4 linked regions of the Arabidopsis thaliana genome follow. The protein of the gene in region 2 interacts with the protein of the main gene of each other region in a pairwise test. Each region holds a gene or a part of one and is shown on either strand. Other genes may lie near its edges. The genes, in order: MGDC, MYB49, AT5G43520 and AT1G10585.

Region 1 (8,028 bases), on a different chromosome or scaffold from region 2:
TTTGCGTTCATTGCCCAGATTTGATCTTGAAGGTTCTGGAGCTCCGAGTTGACTGTGTTTGGCTCTTGTCGGGGATTAGAAATCGGGAGTCTGATGGCGGGATCCAGTGGAGCCGGCGTCCGAGCTATTGTCCCATCTGAGACTGCGGCAAGGCCTGCTGGTGAAGATTGTATGACTGGATTCTGTGTCGACGTTGCCCCGACGTCAACTGGAGGTGAAGGAGATTGCTGGCCAGAAGCTTCCTGCGAATTCTGGACGCTTGGGCTTGCGACACCCTGAAAGTTGAGTCGCGTTCGAGCTCCAGTAGTCCGCGCCGTTCCTGCAGAAAGAGAATCAACCCGCTCGGCGTATGCATTGTGCGCTGATCTGATCTCGGAATGGTTTGCTGCTAAAGCTGCGAGCTGGCCATTGCAATGTTCTTAGAAAAACACGAACTTATCGGAGAGTGTCGTTACTGCGAGCTGTTGCCGGTCGGTTTTCTCTGACAACTGCTGAAGCAGCTGCTTGATGTCGTCGAGGGTGGAGGTTTAGTCGCCGGAACTCTGACCGTCGGTGTTGCTCATGGTGAATTGATCGTTGCTCTGAAGTTAAAGACTTAACTTACCCTCCTTCTAGCGCCAAATTGTGGATGCCAGAATCCGCAATTAGAATTTTGTGGTTGTTTTTGTGAGGATCTTAAGTCTTGTCGGTCGAACAATGATCAAATGATAAACGGATTTGTGTATTTCAGTATAGTTTCAGTATAGTTTCAGTACAAGGTGTTTTCGTCCCCTTTACAAATGACAATTGACTCTTATTTATACTAATACAACGAATCAAATGACTTAAATGATTAGCTGGTTTCACGCCGCAGACCTCGCCCCTATTAACTTCGTACGTTGCGGATCAACAGCTCGGGCCTTTGAATGCTTATCATTCAAGTCGATATCCAGCCGTTACTAAATTAATTCCGTATCAACTTTTTGAACCACTGGGCTTTCATTGGGCTCTAAGGCCGGGCCCAATCCTTGTCTGGAAGCCCACAAATTGCGGGTCGAGTCGAGCACAAGATCCGACATCCACAAACCATTACTTTTTGCTGGTCTCGGGTTTTGAGCCGGGATCCACAAATCCTCCCAAACGGAGATGGAAGCCCCTGAACCGACTTTTTTAATAAGTCCTTTACAAACCAGAGATCTAACTGAACAAATACTTCTCCAGCCATAAGACGGAGAGTATGATTTTATATTTTCCAGAGGATTGGATTTCCTAAAATATCTTCGTTTAAAAACCTTGGCAAAGAGAGAGTCCGGAAACGAAACTAGACGCCATAACTGTTTCGCTAATAATGCAGAGTTTAAATCATCTACATCCCGAAAACCTTAGTCACTTCCCAATTTACTAGTACACAGTTTGTTCCAAGTCATCCAGTGTATACCTCTAGATTCACCATTCGAGCTCCACCAAAATCCTGCGACCGCACTTGTTAGTTTGGAAGTAATTGTTTTCGGGAGCCTAAAGCAATACATCACATAAGTTGGTAATGTTGCGGCTACTGATTTAATCATCACTTTTTTCCCTCCTTTTGATAGGAATTTAGTTGACCACCCATTTATTCGACTGTAATCGATCTTTAACAACGGAAAAGATCTTTGTCTTAGATCCCCCTAAACTCTCAGGTAGTCCGAGATAGGAACCCATGCCTCCGATATTATGTATACCCAAGATCGATTTTATTTCTGCCTTTATAGCTTCATCTACTTTATGCCCGAACTGAATCGATGATTTTACAAAATTTATCATATGTCCTGATACCGCTTCATATTGTTTTAGAATACCCAATAGTTAATAGACTTATTATACCCACATTAGTCTTAATTTCTTTGAATGTCACTATATTTATTTTTTAAATTTATATTTGTAATTATGTTTATCGCACATAAATTTTTCATATAGTATTAAGTTTTCTTGATTTTACTACTTCTAAAAAAATAAAATGAGATTTTCAAATTATATTATACCAAATAAATTAAATTGTGAAAATTGAACCACAGATTTAAAACATAATGTACAACTATTTCATATAAAACAACATTCTTTTCTTTAGGATAGTTACAGTAATATACCAAAAATCAAATTTAAAATAAATTAAAATTTTAATAATGTTCTGTAATAAAGAGAAAAATATATAATAAAACACGTACTAATGCATCATAAAATACACATTTTATGTACTAATAAGTATAATAAACATGTTATCTTAACTAAACATAACCAAGTAAAAAAAACATACTACTATATCAATAAAAGTAAATACATATACCAAGTAAGTTGAAAAAATAAAACTATTGCTCAGTTATTTATATATAGATTATATTAAATTGAAACAACAATTAACTTTCTAACGCAAATAATCAACTCGCTGTGTACCGCGGGTCAATATCTAATGATGTCATAATTCTCGTAGACAAATAGACAATTTTTCCATATGAGTACATTTGATGCAAAAGTAGACATTTGAACTGAAACCTATTTTTGTTTACAAACATTCATATCAACAACTAAACAAAAATCGAAACTAACTTGAATCAATTAATCAAGTATTAAATTAATATGAAAAGTGGACTCAAATTTAACTGAATCGATTTAAACCTAATCAAACCAGATAATTTTTGATTCTAAACCGGTTTACCTATGTCACAAAAAGGACCATCCATGTCATATTTTTTTTTTAATTTTTAAAAAGTCAAGTTGTTTTAAATATACTTGAGATGCAAAGAAAGATCCGAATCATATATCCGAAGATTCCGAAACCAAAGGCGGATCCGACGGCTCCAAGCTGCCATATTCCCTTGTTACTCTACCACTAAATTAAGCCCCACATAAAACAATAAAGACACGAAATATAAATACCTAAGCAAAACTATAGGAACCGAAAAAAAAAAAAAAGAATAATTCCAGCATCATTCCTCAAGTAATTTAAAAACAATTATTAAAAGAAGCAACTTGGTCTTCCATTTTTTTTGCTACAAAAAATTTAAAACCCCAAAAGAACTTAAAATCTTTTACATAAAGATCACCAACCAGCCACATAGAAAACACAACCATCGGTCTTCTTATTATTCTTTCTTCAACACCAAATAGTCATGATGAAAGTGGTGTCACCTCGTACACGGTCGGATTCAATCACTGAGAAGGTGTTTCGACGAGTCTATAGCAATTTTAACATCTCAACAGTAGAAGATGAGTATATCCATCGTCAGAGATCAAGTGATTATGAGAAGGAGAGTCGTCTAAGGAAGAGAGGGTTAGAAGACAAAGAAGAAGTTATGGAGATGGAGCAGATGGGAGCAGAGAGGATCAAAACTGTTCTTATTCTCATGAGTGATACCGGCGGTGGCCACCGTGCTTCAGCCGAGGCCATCCGCGACGCTTTCAAGATCGAATTCGGAGATGACTATCGGGTAAAAATATTAATATTTTTATTTATATCTTCATTTTCATTCTCTTTGCCTTGAATCCAACGCATAGGGTTGAGCCAATAATATGCTTCCTTAACCATATATATAACGTACAAAAAAACGAAAAAATATTGCATAAGCAACAAAACTTAATCATACTTTTATCTTTTAGTTTCTGTGTAAAACAACAACAATATTTTGAAATATTCATTTTGAAAATTTCAAAGCTTGTAAATATATACCTCGAATAATATGTATTTATATTATGACAAAATTTTCCAATAGATTATGTTATAATATATCATAGAGGAGTTTCTGATTCTAATGAAATCTCAGCCGTCAATATTAAAGTTGTCGCAGTAGTCGTCTTGAATTTGAAAACGAAAAGAAACAAATATCTACTTGGAAGTTTTGTAGCCTAGTATGAATCTTGGAGTTTGCCAGGGTGTCGGAGATACGAGCTGACGTCAACAATCTATGTCTTAAAACCTGTCCCACGTTCCATTTATTTTGTTTGTCAATAATGATTAAAAATTTGCATTATTTATTTCTCTAGCTCTGACTCTTTGATGTTACAATATTCTCTCTAGGAACTAATGTCATTTTTTTTATAACTATAGATAATCATAAAAGATGTTTGGAAAGAATACACTGGATGGCCATTGAACGACATGGAGAGACAGTACAAGTTCATGGTGAAACATGTTGGTCTTTGGTCTGTTGCGTTTCATGGTACTTCTCCCAAATGGATCCACAAAAGCTATCTAAGTGCTCTTGCCGCTTATTATGCCAAGTACTTATATGTTAACCTTCTTCTTTTTTCGTTATCATCCCTTAGTGTTACGAATTAGCAATATAATGGAGATTATTTCTTCTTTTGGTGAACAGAGAAATAGAGGCCGGTTTAATGGAGTACAAACCGGACATTATTATTAGCGTGCATCCTCTGATGCAACACATACCATTGTGGGTAATGAAATGGCAAGGACTTCACAAGAAAGTTATTTTCGTTACGGTCATCACTGATCTAAACACTTGCCACCGTACATGGTAAGATGACATTACTTCTATATATACTAAGTACTTAAAATCAGTTTAATCCACGCGTTAGCATATTAATCCTGCATGTTTACTCTCATGACTTTTCATTTAATAAAATATAGATTATATGCAATAATATTTAAAATTAACCAGTGTTTTCACGTCCGACCCAAACCGTTCGGTTCGAACGGTTAATCAGCAACCCAAACACTTTTTCGGTTTAGGTTTAGTACTATAGCCAACAATTTTAAACCCGGAAAAATCCACAAAAAATCGCCATTAACCCGCGACCCAGTGAACCGGTTGAACTGGCCGTGTGTGAGTTTTAAAAAATATATTCGATTTTTGAATAAAATATAGCATTTTAGACTCTATTCAGCTATTTTTAGAAAAAAAATTCACTTTTTAAACTCATTTGATTTTTTTATATTTTGGTGAAGTCTTCACAATTCCGCCTAAAGTGACTGAAACCGAGATTAGTTGTTTTAATTCGCAATGTTTATTAATTTATTTTCGTCATTAATGATCTCCTACTATATTTGTTACGGTTTTAGTCTTTTAGACTTTTAGTTAAATTGAAAACTTTGATTGTTACTGTTTGATTTCATATTTTGTTAAACATAAGATAATTATTTTTGTTTTATTTTATATAATCTCTATTAATATTAAATATATTCAATAAATTTTATTCAATTGACCTGTGGTCTAATTCGGTTAACCCCATTAATCGGTGATCCAGAAGAAAATCCGGTTCACTGTCCGGGTCAGGGTTTAAAACATTGAAATTAACCTAATAGCTCAAAATGAAATCTTCGATTTTGATGTAATAGGTTCCATCATGGAGTCAGCAGATGTTATTGTCCGTCCAAAGAGGTTGCAAAGAGAGCATTAGTAGACGGCCTTGATGACTCTCAAATCCGTGTCTTTGGCTTACCTGTCCGCCCATCTTTCCCTCGCACTATTCTCAACAAGGTAAATTCTGTCCAATTCATACCATTTAGAGATCTTTTTTTTCCCAATCAAGAGAAGATCAACAATAGCTATTATTATGTGTGTTTGTTAGAATGAACTAAGGAAGGAACTTGAAATAGACTTAAATTTACCTGCGGTTCTATTAATGGGAGGGGGTGAAGGAATGGGTCCGGTTCAAAAAACAGCTCTAGCCCTTGGAGATTCTTTATACAACTCTAAAGAAAGTAATCCAATAGGACAATTGATTGTCATATGCGGCCGGAACAAAGTCCTTGCTTCTACATTAGCATCTCATGAATGGAAGATTCCGGTCAAGGTACAAACTAAAATATAATTTTTTTTTTACTTCTACTATATACTTATATACCAAGTAACTAATATATACTTGTGACGTTTATAGGTTCGAGGGTTTGAAACACAAATGGAAAAATGGATGGGAGCTTGTGATTGTATCATCACTAAGGTAAGTCATATCTTTGAATCCTACCCATTCATATAAATAGCACTAAGATTTTATGACATAAAACAGGCTGGTCCGGGTACGATTGCGGAAGCACTGATTTGCGGCCTCCCAATTATCCTCAATGACTATATTCCTGGACAGGTATACATTTTTTTGCTTCACCTTAGGGATTAATCGGCCACATAAACTAACTCTATTGTATGTGACTCCCAAAGGAAAAAGGCAACGTGCCGTATGTTGTGGACAATGGGGCTGGAGTTTTCACCCGAAGTCCCAAAGAAACTGCGAAAATCGTGGCGGATTGGTTTAGCAACAATAAAGAGGAATTAAAGAAAATGTCAGAGAATGCTCTAAAGTTGTCGCAACCTGAAGCCGTGTTCGACATTGTGAAGGATATCCATCATCTATCCCAACAACAACAACGTATTCCACTTTTTAATGAATTTTCCTATTGAAGTGTTGTTTGTTTAGACTATAGGTTTCTCTTATTTCATGATTCTTATTAATGTATATTCTCTAGTGGTTTGTCATTCTTTTATCAGTCTTTTTCAACATTTATTTATGTATTTTATTATATAAAATATGGTTTTCAATGTTAGTAACTCATATGATTGTAACACGTGTCAACTTCATCGATCTCAGATTTTGACATATATAAATAAAAAAAATTTGTTTTATTAAATTTAAAAAACAAAAAGATAATTGTAAATTATAAATTTAAACAGTTTTCAAAATGTAAGAAGATAATTACAAGGAAACTAACTTATTATATAAAGTACGGTTTTCAAAGTTAGTAATTGATTATGCTATGTGCAAATTTTATCGATCTCAGATTTTAACACGTGTAAAACAAAATTTTCTTTTATTAAGTTTAAGACTATAAAAAGACAATTGTAAGAAATTATATATTTTAAAATAAGTATAAGGAAACTAAAACATTTTAGAGAAGTAAATATGATAAGTTTTAAAAAAATATATGTATCTTATTAAATTAAAAATAGAAATTAAAAAATCATTTACTAATTCTAATTGAAGCTACTAATTCTTAATCAAAATTGATTACTTTTTCCTACAAAATTTAAAAAGGATTTAAGAAATTATACAATCTTGTTATATAAAATACCATAATTATGGAAACTACAATCAATTATTAATCCTAAAAGAAAAACGATTCAAAATACTCATATCTATAAAAATAATAGGTAGTCTCCTACTTTTTCACCAAACCAAAATACTCTTCAAAAAGACCACAGTTGATTTAACGTCATACTAATGGTAAAGATTTTTTGTTAGTTTGTGGATTTTTATTTTAGTAATTTGTTAACTCATTTATTATTAACTAAGATATAATGTTTTTTTCTTTTTGTTAACTCTGATACAATATGATATAACTAGTGATGTTAATATGGGTATGCAAACCTCATTTAATTAATGGGTTTGTGTAAGAGAAATTGACCCATTTAAACTCATTTAGAAAAAAATTAAATAGGATTAAATGAGTTAACCCAACTAAACCCATTTATTAAATGGGGTTTCACACAAATAAATGGGTACCCAATTAAGTCCATTTACTTTTTCATTTTATATTAGTAAACCTTATTAAAAATGTTAATGTGTTAATACATTAAAACTAAATTATTCTACTTAACTTCACTTTTTGGTTTAAATATTCAAATCACGTTTTCTCGTCAAAATCATAAACCGACGTTTTTCCCCCAAAATCACAAAAGTTGTTTTCATACTAAAATCACAAAAAGTGTTTTCCACCAAAATTGAAAATCATGTTTTCCCGCCGAAACCGTAAACCGACGTTTTCCCACCAAAACCGTAACCACATTTTCCCGCCAAAATCACAAAAATTGTTTTCCCGCCAAAATCACAAAAATTGTTTTCCTGCCGAAATCACAAAAAGTGTTTTCCACCAAAATTGAAAATCATGTTTTCCCGCCAAAACCGTAAACCTATGTTTTCCCGCCAAAACCGTAAACCAGCGATTTCTCGTCAAAACCGGAAAACCTACGTTTTCTTGCCAAAACCTGAAAATCGACGTTTTCTCCCCAAAACCGTAAACCGACGTTTTCTCCCCAAAACCGTAAACCGACGTTTTCTCCC
Region 2 (6,325 bases):
TAGTCTGTGGTCTATAGTCTATAGTCTCTAGACTATTTTGTTTGTTTGTTGAATATATGCCAAGAAAGATAAAGAAAACAAAGCATAGGATTTGTGACAAAAAAAAAAAAAATAAAAAAAAAATAAAAAAAAAAAAAAAAATAAGCATAGGATATAACATCAATAAAGGGGCAGAAATCAAAAGACAACAATTTTTTTTTTTTTAAAGAGTCAAAAAACCAGTACACATAATTGGACATTTATGACAAAATTGTTTTGGGACATTTATAACTACTAATAGTTTTTGCTAAGGTATTCGTATTATGAGGTTAAACTAAAATAAAGATGATGTTACTGATTTTTTTTTTTTAATTAATCCTAACTTTGATTTTAAGATAAGTTAAAAAATATGCTATATATCCGAATATGAGAAAAATCCAAGAGAATAATTAGTTTACTATGCTGCTGGCAATTTTTTTTTAGTTTACTATGTTGCTAGTGCTTGCTACCACACTTGTACGTGTTCAAGGCGTCGTGGATATATTATACACCATGAAATCTAAGGTTAGGTGTTTTTTGCTAAATCGTTACGTCATTGTTTCTTAAAAATAAGAATTAAAGGTTAAGTTACGTCTGTTTATTTTGTGTGTGTTTGTTTATAATTTGTTTATATAAAAGAAATTGGAAAGATAAATGAGCAAGGTGATTTCGATCATTAGTTTCAGTCCATGTCTTTGTCTCTATGGTCGGCCATCGGCCTTAGAGGCGTGAAAGTCTTAAACAATAATAGAACTTCATTCGGAAAAAAGAAAAAATAACCCTTAATATTTAAATGTAATTTAGATCATACAGTATAAATAACTTCTTATACCAAACTAAAATGAAGATGGTAGCTGATTAACGAATTTACATGCGGAAGACTTAAATAATCGATAGATTAGTTTATGAAAAGACTTGCATAATCGATAGATTAGTTTATGAAAAGACTTACATAATCGATAGATTAGTTTATGAAAAGACTTGCATAATTGGTAGATGCAAAGTTATAAGAAAACTGATAAATCTGAAACGAGGCTTGAGTTCATCAAAATTTCCTGTGACAGCGATTATTTTAATGTTACTAAGACGATTGGGTTGTTGGGATTGTTGTAGATAAACCAGGCAATAACATAATCTACCAATAACAATGTATTGTATTTCCTTTTAGTTGAGAAATTAAATATTTGACCACATTATCTGAATTTTCTTGTCGTCTTAATAACTAATTATCATTATTCATTTTTGGCAGGATCTTTTTTTCTTTGTTAAAGGGTCTACTTTTTTTTTTGATAAAGCAGTCTTTTATTTTTAAAACATGCATCACAAAATTTACCTTCATGAATCAATTCCCTGTGAGACAATGATATGATTTAAAGTTTACATGTAAAATATTCTATACCGTGGAAAAACACTCATTTCATTGTTATATAACGAAAAATATGAATTATATGGACGCAAAATAACTATTTACTAGATATATCGATGTTATAGAAATAATATTATATTAAAAAAAACGATATATACGGTTTAGTGTTAGTGTAAGTTTATATTTTTGGCACTTGTTGAAAACGTTATGATAACTTGTTTATTATCAACCTAACATGTTTTATACGGCTATACCGCATAAAGTGTAGAATTAATTTTACCTCTTTATATGACACAATAATATTTAACATGTAACAAGAGCAAGGGGTTACTTGTCAAATACGCCTATGCACTAAACAATGATAAATTGGTCATTCTCCTAATTTAAAAAGTCACTTTATCATTCTTCTCTAATACCAAACCTTTCTATATAATCACTCTTAAACCGGCCGATAACTTGTTTTCCAAATAATCTAAAACTTATACTAACCAAATTTAACTAAAATAGTAATAATTTCTTACAAATATCAAATCAAAAAATTTCAAATCCCTGACTTGTCAAATCAACCATGTTTCGGACTGAGACCAAAGTCTCTGCAATTCAATGACACATGTATATTATATAGTATTGTTTCATTAATCACACATGTATTTTGACCGTTAACATGCCTTGTTCTTTACGTATGTTGCACTGCAACAACGCTTTGTCGTTAATTTACCTAACTTAGTAAAAACAAAATACATGTCTTAGATTATCAGTTATTCAAACTTGTCGTTATGTAATTGTTATTGAAGTAAACAGAAACTCTGGTGCGATGCAGGACGTTACTCAAACTGAGTCACTTCGATCGGATGTCTTAATTCAAGCAGGACAATCTAGCTTTGCTACTGAAATTTGATGACACGATGATATATATCTATTTCCAACCGATGAAGCACACTGGAGATCCGTTTGGATTTTTATTGTTTTTACTTTTTTACACTATCGTAATCATTCTTTACATATTTCCTTTTTATTTTCTCCTTAGAAGAGAAATTATTTGTATACAAAACTTAGAAGGCTAAATAAGCATATTTATTCAGTATAATCACTGTAACCACACCTTATTCAATAAAATTCTTATTTTGAATCTGTCTATTTATGTATATGATATTGCTATAGTGATGACAGATGAGTAAACATTAAACATACACGCAACATAGCTATCTTGAAAACTGTTTGATGATTTGAGACAAAGAGACCAAAACAAATGGAACCTTCTTCACATATCTATCACACGTCCTCATACACCACCCATATTCTGCCATGTGTTCTCACTCCATCAATATTAATTATTTTTAGGGTTAATAGAGATGGTTTAGTCTCATGCTTTTTGTTTATTACTTTTTTTCTTTGGTCAGAGCTTTTTGTTTGTTAGTAAGGACTTTAAAGATAGAGAGTAAAAATTACTCTTTTGTTTTGTCAACATAATAAGCAGTTTTTTTCTACTTCATTTTGTCTCCGTATTTCATCAAGAAAAGACACGTATTTAGATAGATGATGGAAGGGCGGTACCAAATCTCCTTGACTTGACTTTGCATGTACCATATATATATTTGTATATACATAAATCATAATTCATGAAGAAACCAAATTTTCTCTGTAATCAAGTTCTCAAAGCTTATTAGCTTCTCTCTCTAGTTCTCTCACATATAACATTTGAAAAAGATGGGAAAATCTTCAAGCTCGGAGGAAAGTGAAGTGAAGAAAGGGCCATGGACTCCGGAGGAAGACGAGAAGCTCGTAGGCTATATTCAAACGCACGGTCCCGGCAAATGGCGTACCCTTCCCAAGAACGCCGGTAAATTCCTACCCTAACGCATGTATATATACAAATAGCTAAATCCTATCAGCTACAATATGTTTTCCTGCGTTTTGTTTTACGTTTATGTTTAAAATTTACTAATAATGATTATCATGCTAGATCATGTCAACGTTAGAATTAAAATTAAAACAATCATGGTTCTTATTCGTTTTTCTTGGTGTGAATCTTAAAAGGGTTAAAAAGATGCGGGAAGAGTTGTAGATTGCGATGGACGAATTATCTAAGACCCGATATCAAGAGAGGAGAGTTCTCTCTTCAAGAGGAAGAAACCATCATTCAACTTCATCGTCTTCTTGGAAACAAGTTAGTCTATCTGCAATTTTTCATTTCTTCATTTAGTGTATAATTGTTTACATGTATGATTAAATTAAGTAAAAAATGACCTAGTTTTCCACTACTACACCTACTTCATTGGACTTCCATGTCTTTACATTTTTGTTATAATATTACTTGCATATTTTATTTTATTCAACTAAAAGACAAGAACATAGTTAAGCACTATACCAAGGTCAAATGTCTAAAGCTAAGCATGCAATCTTCAACTCGCTGCAGCTAATATCTTAACAAGTTAAAACTTATACTTCTCTTTTTGATTTTAACTTAAAATCTATAACACGATATTTTTTCTTCTATAGATGGTCCGCAATTGCTATTCACTTACCAGGAAGAACAGATAATGAAATCAAAAACTATTGGAACACACATATTAAAAAGAAACTCTTACGAATGGGGATTGATCCGGTGACTCATTGTCCCCGCATTAATCTTCTCCAGCTCTCTTCGTTTCTTACCTCATCATTGTTTAAATCTATGTCACAACCGATGAATACTCCATTTGATCTCACTACTTCAAATATTAATCCTGATATCTTGAATCATCTCACTGCCTCTCTCAACAACGTTCAGACCGAATCATACCAACCAAACCAACAGCTTCAAAACGACCTAAACACTGACCAAACCACTTTCACCGGTTTGCTCAACTCAACACCACCCGTTCAATGGCAAAACAATGGAGAATACTTGGGAGATTATCACAGTTATACCGGTACAGGTGATCCATCTAATAACAAAGTCCCTCAAGCCGGAAACTACTCATCAGCCGCATTTGTATCCGACCACATTAATGATGGTGAGAATTTTAAGGCCGGATGGAATTTCAGTTCATCAATGCTAGCGGGAACTTCATCGAGCAGCTCGACACCGTTGAATTCGTCTTCGACTTTTTATGTCAATGGTGGAAGCGAAGATGATAGAGAGAGTTTTGGTAGCGACATGTTGATGTTTCATCATCATCATGATCATAATAATAATGCTTTGAATCTATCATAATGTCTTATTTATTTTGCTTCTTGATCTTATTTGTTTTATTTTTACTTTTTTTTAATGGGGGTTTGTAATTGTGTTACATACTTTGTAATATAAGAGCTTAGTCTATTATTATGTTGACTCTTTTTTTTTTTTTTGTTCTACTTTTTTTGATCCGAAAAGGTTTCTATTTGTTTACACTTAAAAAAGTTATAAAACCTAAGAGGATAACAGCTAGTGTACCTTTATCTTGACTTTGTTCTTCTACTAATTGTTTTTTCTGCTTCGAAGAACTTTACATTAGTCGACTCTCAAAAGGTCATAAGATGGTTGATAAGTGTGTTACGTACATACTTAGTATTTTAAGAGTTAAGTGTATTCTTAATCTTGGATTTCTTGTGCATTTTCTTCCACTAATTGTTCTTATTTTCCAATTCGAAGAACTTTCCATTCGTTATACCTAAAAGGTCTTCAACTTGTACGAAAATTTTCTGGTGTTATAGTTTTATTATTCTATTTGCACCATCTTGATTTTGATGATTAAGAACACATTTGGTGGAGCAGGAGACAATAGTGATTATATTTAATTGGTCATAGACTCATAAAGGGGAGTTTTCAATTTCATAATACAAGAAAAAAGAAATAATCGACTTGTTTTCCCTTATGATTGGTTTGAAATCAGCACAAATAAATAGTAATACACCTAAAAGGAAGATTTAAATAGTTATCCACTATGAGAAAATGTGTATGAAAGATTAAAATAGAAAATATATAGTCAACGTTGTTCGAAACACCAAACCCAAGTTATAAAACTGTTCATACAGTGAGATGAGATATATCAAAAATAGCTACTATCAACTATAACATAAATTAAGTAGTAGCTAGATGCTACTTTGAAATTCTGTAATTGACTGAATGACACTTATGTATGTGTATAGAGACATACACATCATAGTATTTTATAAATATGTGGTCCATTCTAGTCTCTTGGATTATTGGAAAAAAAAATACATACGCCTAACCATTCATTGAACCTTGCGGCCATAAAAATACAATAAAATCATGCAATGATATGAAATAAATAAATTATATACTTGTACTTATAGATATTGTATGAGAAAAAATGTGTATATTACTGGGGAGAGAATTTATAAGTAATAATTAGTTAGTTTTTACAACAACAATTTTGGAAAACAAAGAGAATTCCATAGGGAACACAAGAACCTCCTTTGTATTTCTTCATCACACAAATCTCTCTGCACGCTATTAAGTCTATTTGTAGTTACATGACATGGTCGTTTGGCCATACGAGTCATAACTAATTAACTATTAACTCATAGTTATTTCCATTATTTTCGTTTTTTTTTTAACTATACAAGCCAATTGACCATTATTGTGTAGTCTTTGGCAATGTAGTAACCTGCCCACATTTCAAAGGAAGATAAAAAAATCTTGATTTCTTTCTATCCTAAGTTTGACTTCAACAAGTTGTGTTATTATATATAATAGAATTTGGATATGGGTCTGCGTTTGTCGATCCAAATGACAAGACTAGATAATAAATCTCAAACACAACAATTTTGTTTCTTACAACAGGTTTAAACTGAGCTGGGCCTTAAGTTTCTCAAATTCGCAAAGCCAATCAGCTACGTTATATCGCATATGCATGATGAAATGCCTTTGTAGCACGATTGTAATCGAATCTACGAGGAGTAACTTGTTACACACCAAAGATACAAAACAAAGTAAACTAAGATAAAACTAACAAA
Region 3 (5,550 bases), 4.5 Mb from region 2:
GTTTAGTATATATATAATATAGAAATTATTGATCTTTTCAATCAAATTCTATTATATATAAGTATTAGTTCCTCGAATTAAGTATTTTAAATAAAATGTGGGTATCAATAGTAATTTTTAAAATCTAAAGTTTTAAACCGGTAATTGTATGCACTTATTAGATATATATTATTATTTATACCAATATATAAGATATTTTAATAACTAAATAATTATAATTTAAACATAAAAACAAACGAAATAAGTTACTGAACTTTCCTTTATAACAAAATAAAACGTTTAAATGAAATTAACTCTTTTATAACATATTTATCTACTGAGTCTATAAATATGACTAAATATTGTTTAAATAATCCACAGCAAAACAAAATAAAAACGAAATCCAAAACGATTCACAAAAACATTTCATATTTTTTTTTGTGATATTGGTTAATTTCTACCAAAAAATGAAGTGTCCTTCTATATTCTTAACTCTATTAATTTTTGTTTCTTCATGTAAGTCTAAATTATTTAATTAGGATAATGTGTCAGTATTATAATCATTACAAAAACTGTTTAAAAATTTGATATATCTTTTGAAAATTTGATAGGTACATCAATACTTATAAATGAATCTAGTGATGAACAGAGAATATATTCTTTCAGTCCAACAACAAGTCCTTTTGATCCACGCTCACTGAACCAAGAACTTAAAATTGGGAGAATTGGTTACTGTTTTGATTGCGCAAGAGCTTGTATGAGACGGGGTAAGTATATTCGTACATGTAGTTTTGAAAGAAAACTTTGTCGTTGCAGTATTAGTGATATTAAATAAGGCATTGTAACTTTGTTAAACATTAATAATAATAAAAAATATTGCTGTTTAATGTTCATCCATGTCCTTCTTTTTACAATAATGAACATGTATAATAATCTAACAGTTTTGTAGTGTGCATTAAACATGAAATTTATTGGGAAACATAAGTCCTTGACAAATAAAAAAATATTTTTGAAAAATTAAACTTATTCATTATAATCAAGGAAACTGTTAGTTTTTTTCTAAACATTTTACATTTAAACAAATTTATTTTGCTCATCTATACTGTAAATCTATTTTATTATATAAAATACGGGTTTGAAAGTTTTTTAAAGGGTCAAAGTTTTTAATCACCGTCACATCTCTAGATAAATAAGGTTCCAATATGTTTGATTATGTTACATATTTACCTAAACCTCTTCCGAGTTACGATAGAGAAAATGAAAGAAAACAAATCTTCAAATCAACTTAAATTTTTTCTTCTTCTTCATATTGCAAAATAAACAACTTACACACGAGTGTTTATGATTAAATCCACACAAATAAACAAGAACCAAACAAGAAAGAGTAATATATCTATTGTTTCTTTATTTTTGGAAACCATATTTCGCAAAGAAAAATATCAATATTCATAAATATATTCGTCCCTTCTTGATCACCAATAGTATCTACGTTTTGGTTCATCCCACAGATCAAGTGCAGCATTCCTCGCATCATTCTCAATACGTGCCTCTAGCTGCATAGCCGCCATCTCGTCTTGCGCCTTCATCAACGACTTTATCCTAGAAGCTGGAGAACTCGCTTCTCCTTCTTCGTCTTCATCTTCTTCTTCTTTCCCTTGGTCTTCATATGCCGCACATGAGTGTAGATGTGTTCCATAGTCACAATCCTTACAGTAATACATCCATAGATCTTCTGAAATAGTTTCATCACAAGCGCTGCAAGTGAAGTACGTGTCTTCACGTCCTTTACACGGTGTGCAATAAAGAAGAGTGAGTGGATGTTCATGATCTTCACGATCTACGGTTTCAGGGATAAACGCACATCCCACATGAAGACTGTAGTTGCAGTTTGAGCAATGGTAAGAAAATCCAGATCCGTATTGGTCACACGCGTCACACGTGTAGACAGACCGATCATCTGGTGGGGAATGAAGCAAGGTCAGAGGGTGGTCCTGGTGAGACTTGTTATTGGTCTCACTAGGAAGGTCGAAACATGACTTGTGTAAGAAGTAATCGCACTCTGACTTTATACATTTGAAAGCTTGCCCGGTCAGCTCTAGCTCGCAGCCAGAGCATGCGGTCTCATCCTCTTCTTTGGCTTTAAAGACACGCAGCGGATGGTTGTGACTTGGGTGCCTCACAGATTGGCGATTAACCGGTTTGGCCTTTGGTTTTCTTGAAGCCATTTAGTATGTTATTGATTTGTGTTTGGTTTTGGTTGTTTTGAGGGAGAAGGGTGTGGAACTTTATATACCAAAAACTGCAAGAGGACTTCATTATAATTGTAGGTTTAATGAGTATGCGTTTCGTTTTATTGATTATATTAATCAAGTTGTCATTGTATTATGCTATTTCGCTAATTATAAGGTTTGACATCTGTATAGGAGACTTTGACATTTGGGATTCAAAGTTTAGGAAATAAAAGTATTTAGACGCGCTTTGGTGTTTATTATTCTAAGATTAAGATAACTTGTAGAAATAAATATTCTAATTAACATCCGAGTTTTATAGCAACTAGGGCATATCCGCATAATATATATATGTGTGTGTGTAGAGAGGATAAGGTTTAATGAGGTCAACGTCTCTAAGTCTATGCTAATTATTATCTAATTTATCTTGTGCAACTTCCATTTGATAAGGTTAATTGGTTTAATATAGTTTTGAGTAATATATTGTCGGTTGTCTCCCCTCTTCTCACCAAAAAAAAAGGTTAATTGGTTAACCATAGTTTTAAGTCTTAAAACAAACGAAAACTTCTGTACAGATCAATTCCCTACCAAAAAAAAGAAAGCAACAAGAAAACAACATGCATAGATCAAATAATGTGAATATAAACATTCAAGTGGTGCTTCAAGTGATGATGTAGTGAGTATTCTATATAAACTACATGCAAGCATCATTATTTATTTATATTTTTCTTAAAACTGTATCCAGTTCAATCAAGGGAAATTAAGAAATGCTAATATATATGCAAGATCTAAATTTCAAATATGGTTGGAAATTTGATCATGTATTGGAATATTATTAAAAACTTTGACGGTTTAAAGATAGTGTCATCCCCGTTAGAAAAGTTTCAAATCTATGCAGTTTCAGGTATATATCTTTAAAAGTCGAAAAATTCTTTTTCTGATTTCGTTATACAAGAGTCTCCAAGTTTATCATCATTTATTACTAATTTAGATATTGAAGATGCTGCACAAAAAGTAAAAAAAATTGATTAATACTTAAGGGTTTTTGTCACTTAAATCTCTTAGTTAAGGGTTTTTTCATTAATAATATAGCTGAGGGCTTTAAAATGGATTTATCGATACTTGAGGGGTTTTTTTCGTTTAAATCTCAAAAACTTGTTTTTTTCTTTTTTTTTTGGTAAAACAATCTCAAAAACTTAATACCAAATCTTATTAATAATCAGGTTACAACTTAAAAGACTTTTGTTTATAAGACTTTGAAGAATAATTTGTTTCTATAGATAAAAACTGAAAGGTGTTTGTTCAAAAAAAAAAATGAAATAAGGTGATTTAAAGATTTTCTTATTAATAAATAATTTAAGCAATTTATAACTAAAAGATATACATATGTAGAAAGAGTTTGGATTGATTCGAGGCATATAAGAATTTAATTGATTTGGTCATCTTTAAGATCATAAGTATTAATAAGGAATCCAAAAGTGATTTAAGATTTTGTTAGAAAAGCAAGATAGGCATCATGAGTTAGTATATATATAATATAGAACTTTTTGATATTTTTAATCAAATTATATTATATATTTATTAGTTCCTCGAATTAAATATTTTAAATAAAATGTGGGCATCAATAGTAATTTTTGAAATCTAAAGTTTTAAACATGTAATTGTTTGCACTTATTAGATGTATATTACTATTTATACCAATATATAACAGATTTTAATAACTAAAAAATTATAATTTTAAAACAAAAACAAACGTAATATGTTACTAAATTTTACTTTATAACAAAATAAAACGTTTAACTGAAAATTAACTCTTTATATAACATATTTATCTACAGAGTCTATAAATATGACTAAATATTGCTTTAATACTCCAGAGCAAAACAAAAGAAAAACGATTCACAATAATATTTAATATATTTTCTTTGTGATATTGGTTAATTTCTACCAAGAAATGAAGTTGCCTATTATATTCTTAACTCTATTAATTTTTGTTTCTTCATGTAAGTTTAAATTATTTAATTAGGATAATGTGTCAGTATTATAATCATTACAAAAACTGTTTAAGAATTTGATATATCTTTTGAAAATTTGATAGGTACATCAGTACTTATAAATGGATCTAGTGATGAAGAGAGAACATATTCTTTCAGTCCAAGAGCAAGTCCTTTTGATCCACGCTCACTGAACCAAGAACTTAAAATTGGGAGAATTGGTTACTGTTTTGATTGCGCAAGAGCTTGTATGAGACGGGGTAAGTATATTCGTACATGTAGTTTTGAAAGAAAACTTTGTCGTTACAGTATTAGTGATATTAAATAAGGTATTGTAATTTTGTTAAACATTAATAAAAAACAAATTATATTACTGCTTAATGTTCATCCATGCCCTTCTTTTTACAATAATGAACATGTATAATAATCTAAAAATTTTATAGTGTGCACTTAACATAAAATTTATCTGGAAACATAAGTCATTGAAAAATTAAAAAAATGTTGAAGATGACATAATTGGCGCGGATCCTCATTTGTAATGACCAGTTAGAGTAAAAGAATCCAAACCTAAAATACAAATCAATAATCAAATATTGGATGTTATACAAGCTATGGAGCAATTAAAGAAGGCAACACGAATAAAATATTTGGGTCGAATCCAGTCCTTTGGATTGAGAAAACTGAAGCGAATTAACCGAAAACTCAGAAATCTAAAAACATTAACTGAATTTCAACAAAAAAAAAAAAAGAAAAAGGTGTTGGTAGATTTTATTTTTATTTAAAAATAGCAGATATCCGAACCAAATAATTTTTTATCATAATTTCGGTAAGATTTTTGAAAAAGCAAAAAAATCGATTAACCAAATTCGCTTACCTAATTTTAAGGTTTGCAAAAGGAAATACTCTAAATATCCTGCAAAGAGGCAAAATTTTACACATAAATTTGGTAAATTAACGGCGAGATTTACAGTAATTTCGGCTCCAAAAAACACCCCGCCAATTTTATTACCAAACCCATTCACTTCAATTCGCGCCAAAACTAGAATCCCAAAAGACCAATTCCTATTTAAAACCCCTACGCCCCCCACTCTCATCCTCCATTTTCGCCTCTCTCTTCCCTCTCCTCCTTTCTTCCCAAATGGCCATTGTTGATGACGCAGAGATGCGGTTAACCGAATCCGAAGCTGTTTCGAGTTCCGATGATCGTAAGATCGTTGCAGATACTCCCGATTTTATAGACGAATCCTCTCTAGTCATCAGAACAACCACTGGAGTCCGAATCTCAGCTCTACCGGCGGAGCAAAGCCTTGTTGACTCCGATGGATCTAACTCGGAGGTTACGCTTCCGG
Region 4 (5,941 bases), on a different chromosome or scaffold from region 2:
GAGCAAAACGCACTTAAATACATTTTTTTATCAATTCACTAAATCTTATTTCTCCAAAATTTAAACTAGATTTCGGCAACTATTTAAAACAAAAATTGTTTGACAAACTAAAGTACAATTGTAATCCCGTAAAATATTTATTTTAATTATATATTTAAATCAACGATGTACTGTAGTTTTTTTTTACGGGACGGGTTTGGCGGGACGGGTTTGAAAGGACATTACTTAATAACAGTTGTAAACTGTAAAATAAATATATTTTATAGATAGATATAATTTACGAACTTTTATATATACTAATTTAAAAAAACAATTGTTCCCGCGGTGTACCGCGGGTTAAAATCTAGTATATTACATTTTAGTTAATACATATAACGATTATAACCAAATTCATACAAAAGACATGGAAGTAACTAGGTTGTGTGTTTTTATTGGCACCAACAGTTGCCAGTGCCTCAACTTATAGATCAAGCGGTATCATACATGATCCAACTGAAAGAGAAGGTAAACTATTTGAATGAGATGAAAAGGAGAATGTTAGGAGGAGAAGTCAAAAATCGCTCTGAAGGGTCGTCTCTTCTGCCAAAACTCAGTATTCGTTCACTGGATTCGATCATAGAAATGAATCTGGTTATGGATCTAAACATGAAAGGAGTAATGTTACACAAGCTTGTGAGTGTTTTTGAAGAAGAAGGAGCTCAAGTGATGAGTGCTAATCTTCAGAACTTGAATGATAGGACCTTTTATACAATCATAGCCCAGGTACATGCATGTGTCATGTTTTTTTTTTTTTTTTTAGCAGCATCTCTTTGTTCCATATCATTAAAATATAGTTTGAACTTTTTTTGAAGGACTATATATATATGATAAATTAATAATCACCTAAATGAATATTTGCAGGCTATCATATGTCGGATCGGGATTGATCCATCAAGGATAGAAGAGAGATTAAGGGATATAATCTCATGATTAATTTTTTGAAGCATTATTGAATCCCAAATCACAAGTCTTTTCTTAACAAATTAAATGTGTTAGTTCTTTAAACATGAGATTATGAGTATTTTTAAGAGTGAATTGGTGTAATAGCCCTATTGTTGTTTAAGTTAAAGAGAATGATCAAATGTCTGAATACCATTTCCTCAAGTATATGAACGAAAAAGCCTCTCACATCATCTTCAAAATCTCTTTATTTTCTCTTTTCTTTCTATGCCTAATCTCTATTACGTTTATAGAATCTCATGTTTAAATATAAAATATATTATCTACTTTTATTGTCAAGAACTCTCAAATTTTCTTTCATTGAGCATTTTAAGCTCAAATATTTTATTACAGGCGCCGTCTAAAATAGTCGTAATTGATATTTGCATACATAGAATAGATAGATGTTATGCATCTGATGACTATCTTCAAAACATGTTCAAGGGCATAGGCATTTGGATCCACTTTTGGAGTTTTTCATATTGCGATAGCAAGGACATTCATCTTTGTTTTCTCCTAAAATCACACATGGTTAGATTTTGTATGTGAATATAGTTAACTAAAACTTAAAAAACATGTATATATACACGACATAACTAGTAAACAAATCTTTTTTTCTAAATGTCTTATATAAATTGGACAGTATATATAGATCGATAACAAAAATTTCGCTACAAATTTTCTAACTATAAGTAATCATCCTTTTCTAGCCACAGAATTAGTTACAAGTAATTATAGGCTTAACATTTTAAAATTGGGCTAATCTGTATTTCTAGTCACGGATTTTCAATGGCTATGAATTATGATAGTTACCAAATGACTATTCTCTTCTTGTACGAATTCAAATATTTGAAGAAGGAAAAAAAGAATAACATGTGGAAAATGCAATAAGGATATAATTGTCCCTTACTCAGTTTCTAAGCAAGTGGTCAAGCAGCGAGACGATATATACACAGTGTTAGTATCATATTGCGGCTCCTTTTACTTTTTATGTCAGTTTGCTCAGTGGCAAAGTTATGACCAACATCTACCTGGAGTACTCCAAGACTCAACAAAACTAGGCATGTTTAATTTTCTGTCTTTGTATTCACCTCCGGTGAACGTTTAGACGATCGGTCCATGTAGATCCCCTATCCGGTGAACGATGTCGGCCATACGGCCAAAGAGAGTTGAGGGCCTTTAATAATTTATGTAAGGAATGCCGAATGTGTTGTGTCCTTTTCTTCTATGATAATGATAGCTTGTTGAATAATCTTAGGTTATGGCGCCTTATGATACTTTCCTCGGATAATGAATACGTGCACCAAATTAATTGAACATGATGATACTATTTGATTTAGTGGTCCCGATTCTATCAGTATACAAAACAATTTTCCTTTTCTATTTGTTGATAGAAACATATATAGTACTGTTGTAAGGAATTCATTTTTGTCTACCGTGGCTGTTGACTATTTTACGCCATTGAAATGATTTTTGATAATAATTTTCTCCAAACCTACTGTAAATCACAGGACTTAAACTCATGGTTAGTAATCTGAAAGAAGAAGAATCATATCTCTGAACGTTAGGAATCTCATCTCACACGGTAAGCATGATGCTATCTAAACTATGTCTTTGAACGTTAGAAATCTTACATCGAAATTATGATGCGTCCTAGTAATGTGTCAACCCACCAACAAATCTAATTTTTTTTTTAATGATAAACAACATATCTAATTGTTTTGAAACTTTTGTATCTTTAAGAACGTGGAAATTCCGAAGTAAATAGTAAAATTTACTTGGTAGGAAAGATGCATGCATCTTATTAATTTAGTGTGTAAGCTCACGGACGCAATCACAAAAGCCATGACTTTCTTCCAAAACATCCCTTTCATCTAAATCACGTAGCTCTTTCTCTCAAAGTTGAGATTTGTGACTCTGTATCTCCCGGCCCTCTCTATCTCTTTAACTGTATATAAAGAGAGATGGATTTGAAAAGAGAAACTTGTACATAAAAGCTTAAAAGAAAACAAAAAGAATGGGGAGAGCAAGAGAAATAGGAGAAGGAAACTCATCGTCGTTAAGGGAACAACGAAACCTCAGAGAGAAGGATCGAAGGATGCGCATGAAACATCTCTTCTCTATACTTTCTTCTCATGTTTCTCCCACTCGCAAGGTCCGTTTTTTCTCTCTAACTCTCCCTCTCTCTCTTTCTCTCTCTATATATATCTTATATTAAATTGTAGATGTGTTTTATGCGTATATACAACAATACAAACATTATCTACATAATTACTGTAAGATGTACGTTTTATTCTAAAGAGATAATATTTTGATTAATTGAATAGGCAGTTGTCCCTCTATGACCGTCCATATTAGCTCTCTTTTAAGTACGGTGTCTAATTGACAAATAAATGATTCACGTAGCTAGGGTTTTTACGGTTTATTTATATATATTGAATATAACCACATTCATGTAAAAGATTAATGAAAGTAATTATCTTGGGGTTTTTTTTGGGATCTAAACAGTTACCAGTGCCTCACCTTATAGATCAAGCGACATCATACATGATCCAATTGAAAGAGAATGTAAATTATTTGAAAGAGAAGAAAAGGACATTGTTACAAGGAGAACTCGGGAATCTCTACGAAGGGTCGTTTCTTCTACCCAAACTCAGTATTCGTTCGCGGGATTCGACCATAGAAATGAATCTGATCATGGATCTAAACATGAAAAGAGTAATGTTACACGAGCTTGTGAGTATTTTTGAAGAAGAAGGAGCTCAAGTAATGAGTGCTAATCTTCAGAACTTGAATGATAGGACCACTTACACAATCATAGCCCAGGTACCACATCCACACGCATATGTTTGTATAATACACACGTATATGCATGTGTCATGTCTTTCGTATAAATTTTTATTACATATATTTGCAGGCTATCATTAGTCGGATTGGCATTGATCCATCAAGGATAGAAGAGAGAGTACGGAAAATCATCTATGGATATATATATTTTGAAGCATGAAATCCCAAATGATAAGTCTACGCTAACGCTAGTGTGTTTTTTCACACATGTGTTAGTTCTTTAAATATGAGATGAGTAATTGCTTTTGAGTTCGATTATGATAAATATGTTGACCGTCAACATAAGAAACCTTAAAACGTTGTCGTTTCGTTTTTATTCATCCCGGTTTAATTCAGTTTGGCTTGGCGTGATTTTAGATTGGTCCAGATTTGCATAATTTTAACCACCGAGTAAGACAGTGGGATGTAAATGTCAATAAAATACACTATTGGGGTAAATGTGAAAAGAAAAAAATAGTAAGAGGCTATATTTGAAAATCTAAATATCGCACAAATTGCAACCCTTATTTTAGATTTAGGAATTTTGAAACCCTTGTCGAAGAGAAAAGAGGCAAAATCTCAGTATAAAGTTTCTCAAACACTTGTGGTAAGAGAGCAAAATCGTGAGAGATGGATCTGATTCAATCCTACGAAGAAGAAGACGAAGCCGTTGCTTCCTCGCCGGAATCTTCACCGCCTCGTATGTTAAAGGCGAAATCATCGGCGCCGGAGGTAGACGATACGGCACTAGCTCTCACGGTGGCTAACGTGAATCAATCGAAATCGAAGCCGATTGACCCGACTCAACACGTCGTCTTTTATAACCCTACCCATGATCAGCTGTGGGCTCCGATGTTCGGCCCCGCGCATCCGTATGCGAAAGACGGGATCGCTCAAGGGATGCGGAATCATAAGCTAGGTTCTGTGGAAGATGCTTCGATTGGATCGTTTGGGTTTGAAGAGCAGTACCATACGTTTCATAAGTGCGGTTACGCGGCGGATCCGTCTGGGATGAACTACGTCGGCGATGTTGAGGCGTTTAAGAAGAACGATGGTCTTTCGGTTTTTAATATTCCTCAGAGTGAGCAGAAGCGGAGGAAGATTGAGAGGAGCAAAGAGGAGAGGGAAGGGGAAGAGAAAAAGGAAGAGATTGAGCCGGAAGCTGAGAATCCGGAGACGGAAGCTTGGCTTAGGAAGAATAGGAAGAGTCCGTGGTCGAGGAAGAAGGAGGTGGTTCAGGGAGAGTTGACGGAGGAGCAGAAGAAGTATGCGGAGGATCATGCCAAGAAGAAGGAGGAGAAGGGACAACAAGGTGAAACCAAAGGAGAGCATTATGCGGATAAGAGTACCTTCCATGGCAAAGAGGAGAAAGATTATCAAGGAAGGTCTTGGATTGAGGCTCCTAAAGATGCTAAGGCGAACAATGATCATTGCTACATTCCAAAACGTTTGGTTCATACATGGAGTGGGCACACGAAAGGTGTTTCCGCTATTAGGTTCTTCCCAAAGCAAGGACATTTGCTTCTCTCTGCAGGTATGGATTGTAAGGTTAAGATTTGGGATGTGTATAACTCTGGTAAATGTATGAGGACTTACATGGGTCACGCCAAAGCTGTGAGGGATATTTGCTTCTCCAATGATGGGTCTAAATTCTTGACTGCTGGGTATGATAAGAACATTAAGTATTGGGACACGGAAACTGGCCAAGTTATATCGACTTTCTCCACTGGGAAGATTCCGTATGTGGTTAAGCTGAATCCGGATGATGACAAGCAGAACATTTTGTTGGCTGGTATGAGTGATAAGAAGATTGTGCAGTGGGATATTAATACGGGGGAGGTTACGCAAGAGTATGATCAGCACTTGGGGGCAGTTAATACTATCACATTTGTGGACAATAACAGAAGATTTGTCACGTCGAGCGATGATAAGTCTCTCCGTGTTTGGGAATTTGGGATCCCGGTGGTTATCAAGTATATCAGTGAGCCTCATATGCATTCTATGCCTTCCATTTCTGTTCACCCGAATGGAAACTGGCTTGCTGCACAGAGTTTGGATAACCAGATTCTGATCTACAGTACCCGAGAAAGGTTTCAGCTGAATAAAAAGAAGAGGTTTGCAGGGCACATTGTTGCCG

The links.
Region 1: the proteins of MYB49 (region 2) and MGDC interact in a two-hybrid assay, tested with the Arabidopsis thaliana proteins (one large-scale study listed by BioGRID).
Region 3: the proteins of MYB49 (region 2) and AT5G43520 interact in a two-hybrid assay, tested with the Arabidopsis thaliana proteins (one large-scale study listed by BioGRID).
Region 4: the proteins of MYB49 (region 2) and AT1G10585 interact in a two-hybrid assay, tested with the Arabidopsis thaliana proteins (one large-scale study listed by BioGRID).

The regions. Positions count from the first base shown.
Region 1 is NC_003071.7:4,740,263-4,748,290, forward strand, and holds MGDC (monogalactosyldiacylglycerol synthase type C), read left to right. Parts: upstream 1-2,899; 5' UTR 2,900-3,125; coding exon 3,126-3,443; intron 3,444-4,004; exon of another isoform or gene 4,005-4,060; coding exon 4,061-4,233; intron 4,234-4,328; coding exon 4,329-4,490; intron 4,491-5,311; coding exon 5,312-5,453; intron 5,454-5,544; coding exon 5,545-5,769; intron 5,770-5,853; coding exon 5,854-5,916; coding exon of another isoform or gene 5,917-5,952; exon of another isoform or gene 5,953-5,956; coding exon of another isoform or gene 5,957-5,962; exon of another isoform or gene 5,963-5,982; coding exon 5,983-6,057; intron 6,058-6,131; coding exon 6,132-6,371; 3' UTR 6,372-6,548; downstream 6,549-8,028. UniProt on the Arabidopsis thaliana protein: Involved in the synthesis of monogalactosyldiacylglycerol, the major structural component of photosynthetic membranes and in the chloroplast envelope biogenesis.
Region 2 is NC_003076.8:22,014,612-22,020,936, reverse strand, and holds MYB49 (myb domain protein 49), read left to right. Parts: upstream 1-2,875; 5' UTR 2,876-3,091; coding exon 3,092-3,224; intron 3,225-3,421; coding exon 3,422-3,551; intron 3,552-3,883; coding exon 3,884-4,580; 3' UTR 4,581-4,794; downstream 4,795-6,325.
Region 3 is NC_003076.8:17,483,988-17,489,537, forward strand, and holds AT5G43520 (Cysteine/Histidine-rich C1 domain family protein), read right to left. Parts: upstream 2,323-5,550; 5' UTR 2,205-2,322; coding exon 1,452-2,204; 3' UTR 1,244-1,451; downstream 1-1,243. Other genes in the region: LURE1.4 (Putative membrane lipoprotein), read left to right, coding at 447-495, 591-814; LURE1.5 (Putative membrane lipoprotein), read left to right, coding at 4,162-4,210, 4,306-4,529; AT5G43530 (Helicase protein with RING/U-box domain-containing protein), read left to right, coding at 5,340-5,550.
Region 4 is NC_003070.9:3,492,159-3,498,099, reverse strand, and holds AT1G10585 (basic helix-loop-helix (bHLH) DNA-binding superfamily protein), read left to right. Parts: upstream 1-2,855; 5' UTR 2,856-2,995; coding exon 2,996-3,133; intron 3,134-3,415; exon of another isoform or gene 3,416-3,444; coding exon of another isoform or gene 3,445-3,486; coding exon 3,487-3,804; intron 3,805-3,895; coding exon 3,896-3,985; 3' UTR 3,986-4,330; downstream 4,331-5,941. Other genes in the region: AT1G10586 (basic helix-loop-helix (bHLH) DNA-binding superfamily protein), read left to right, coding at 445-762, 901-969; AT1G10580 (Transducin/WD40 repeat-like superfamily protein), read left to right, coding at 4,435-5,941.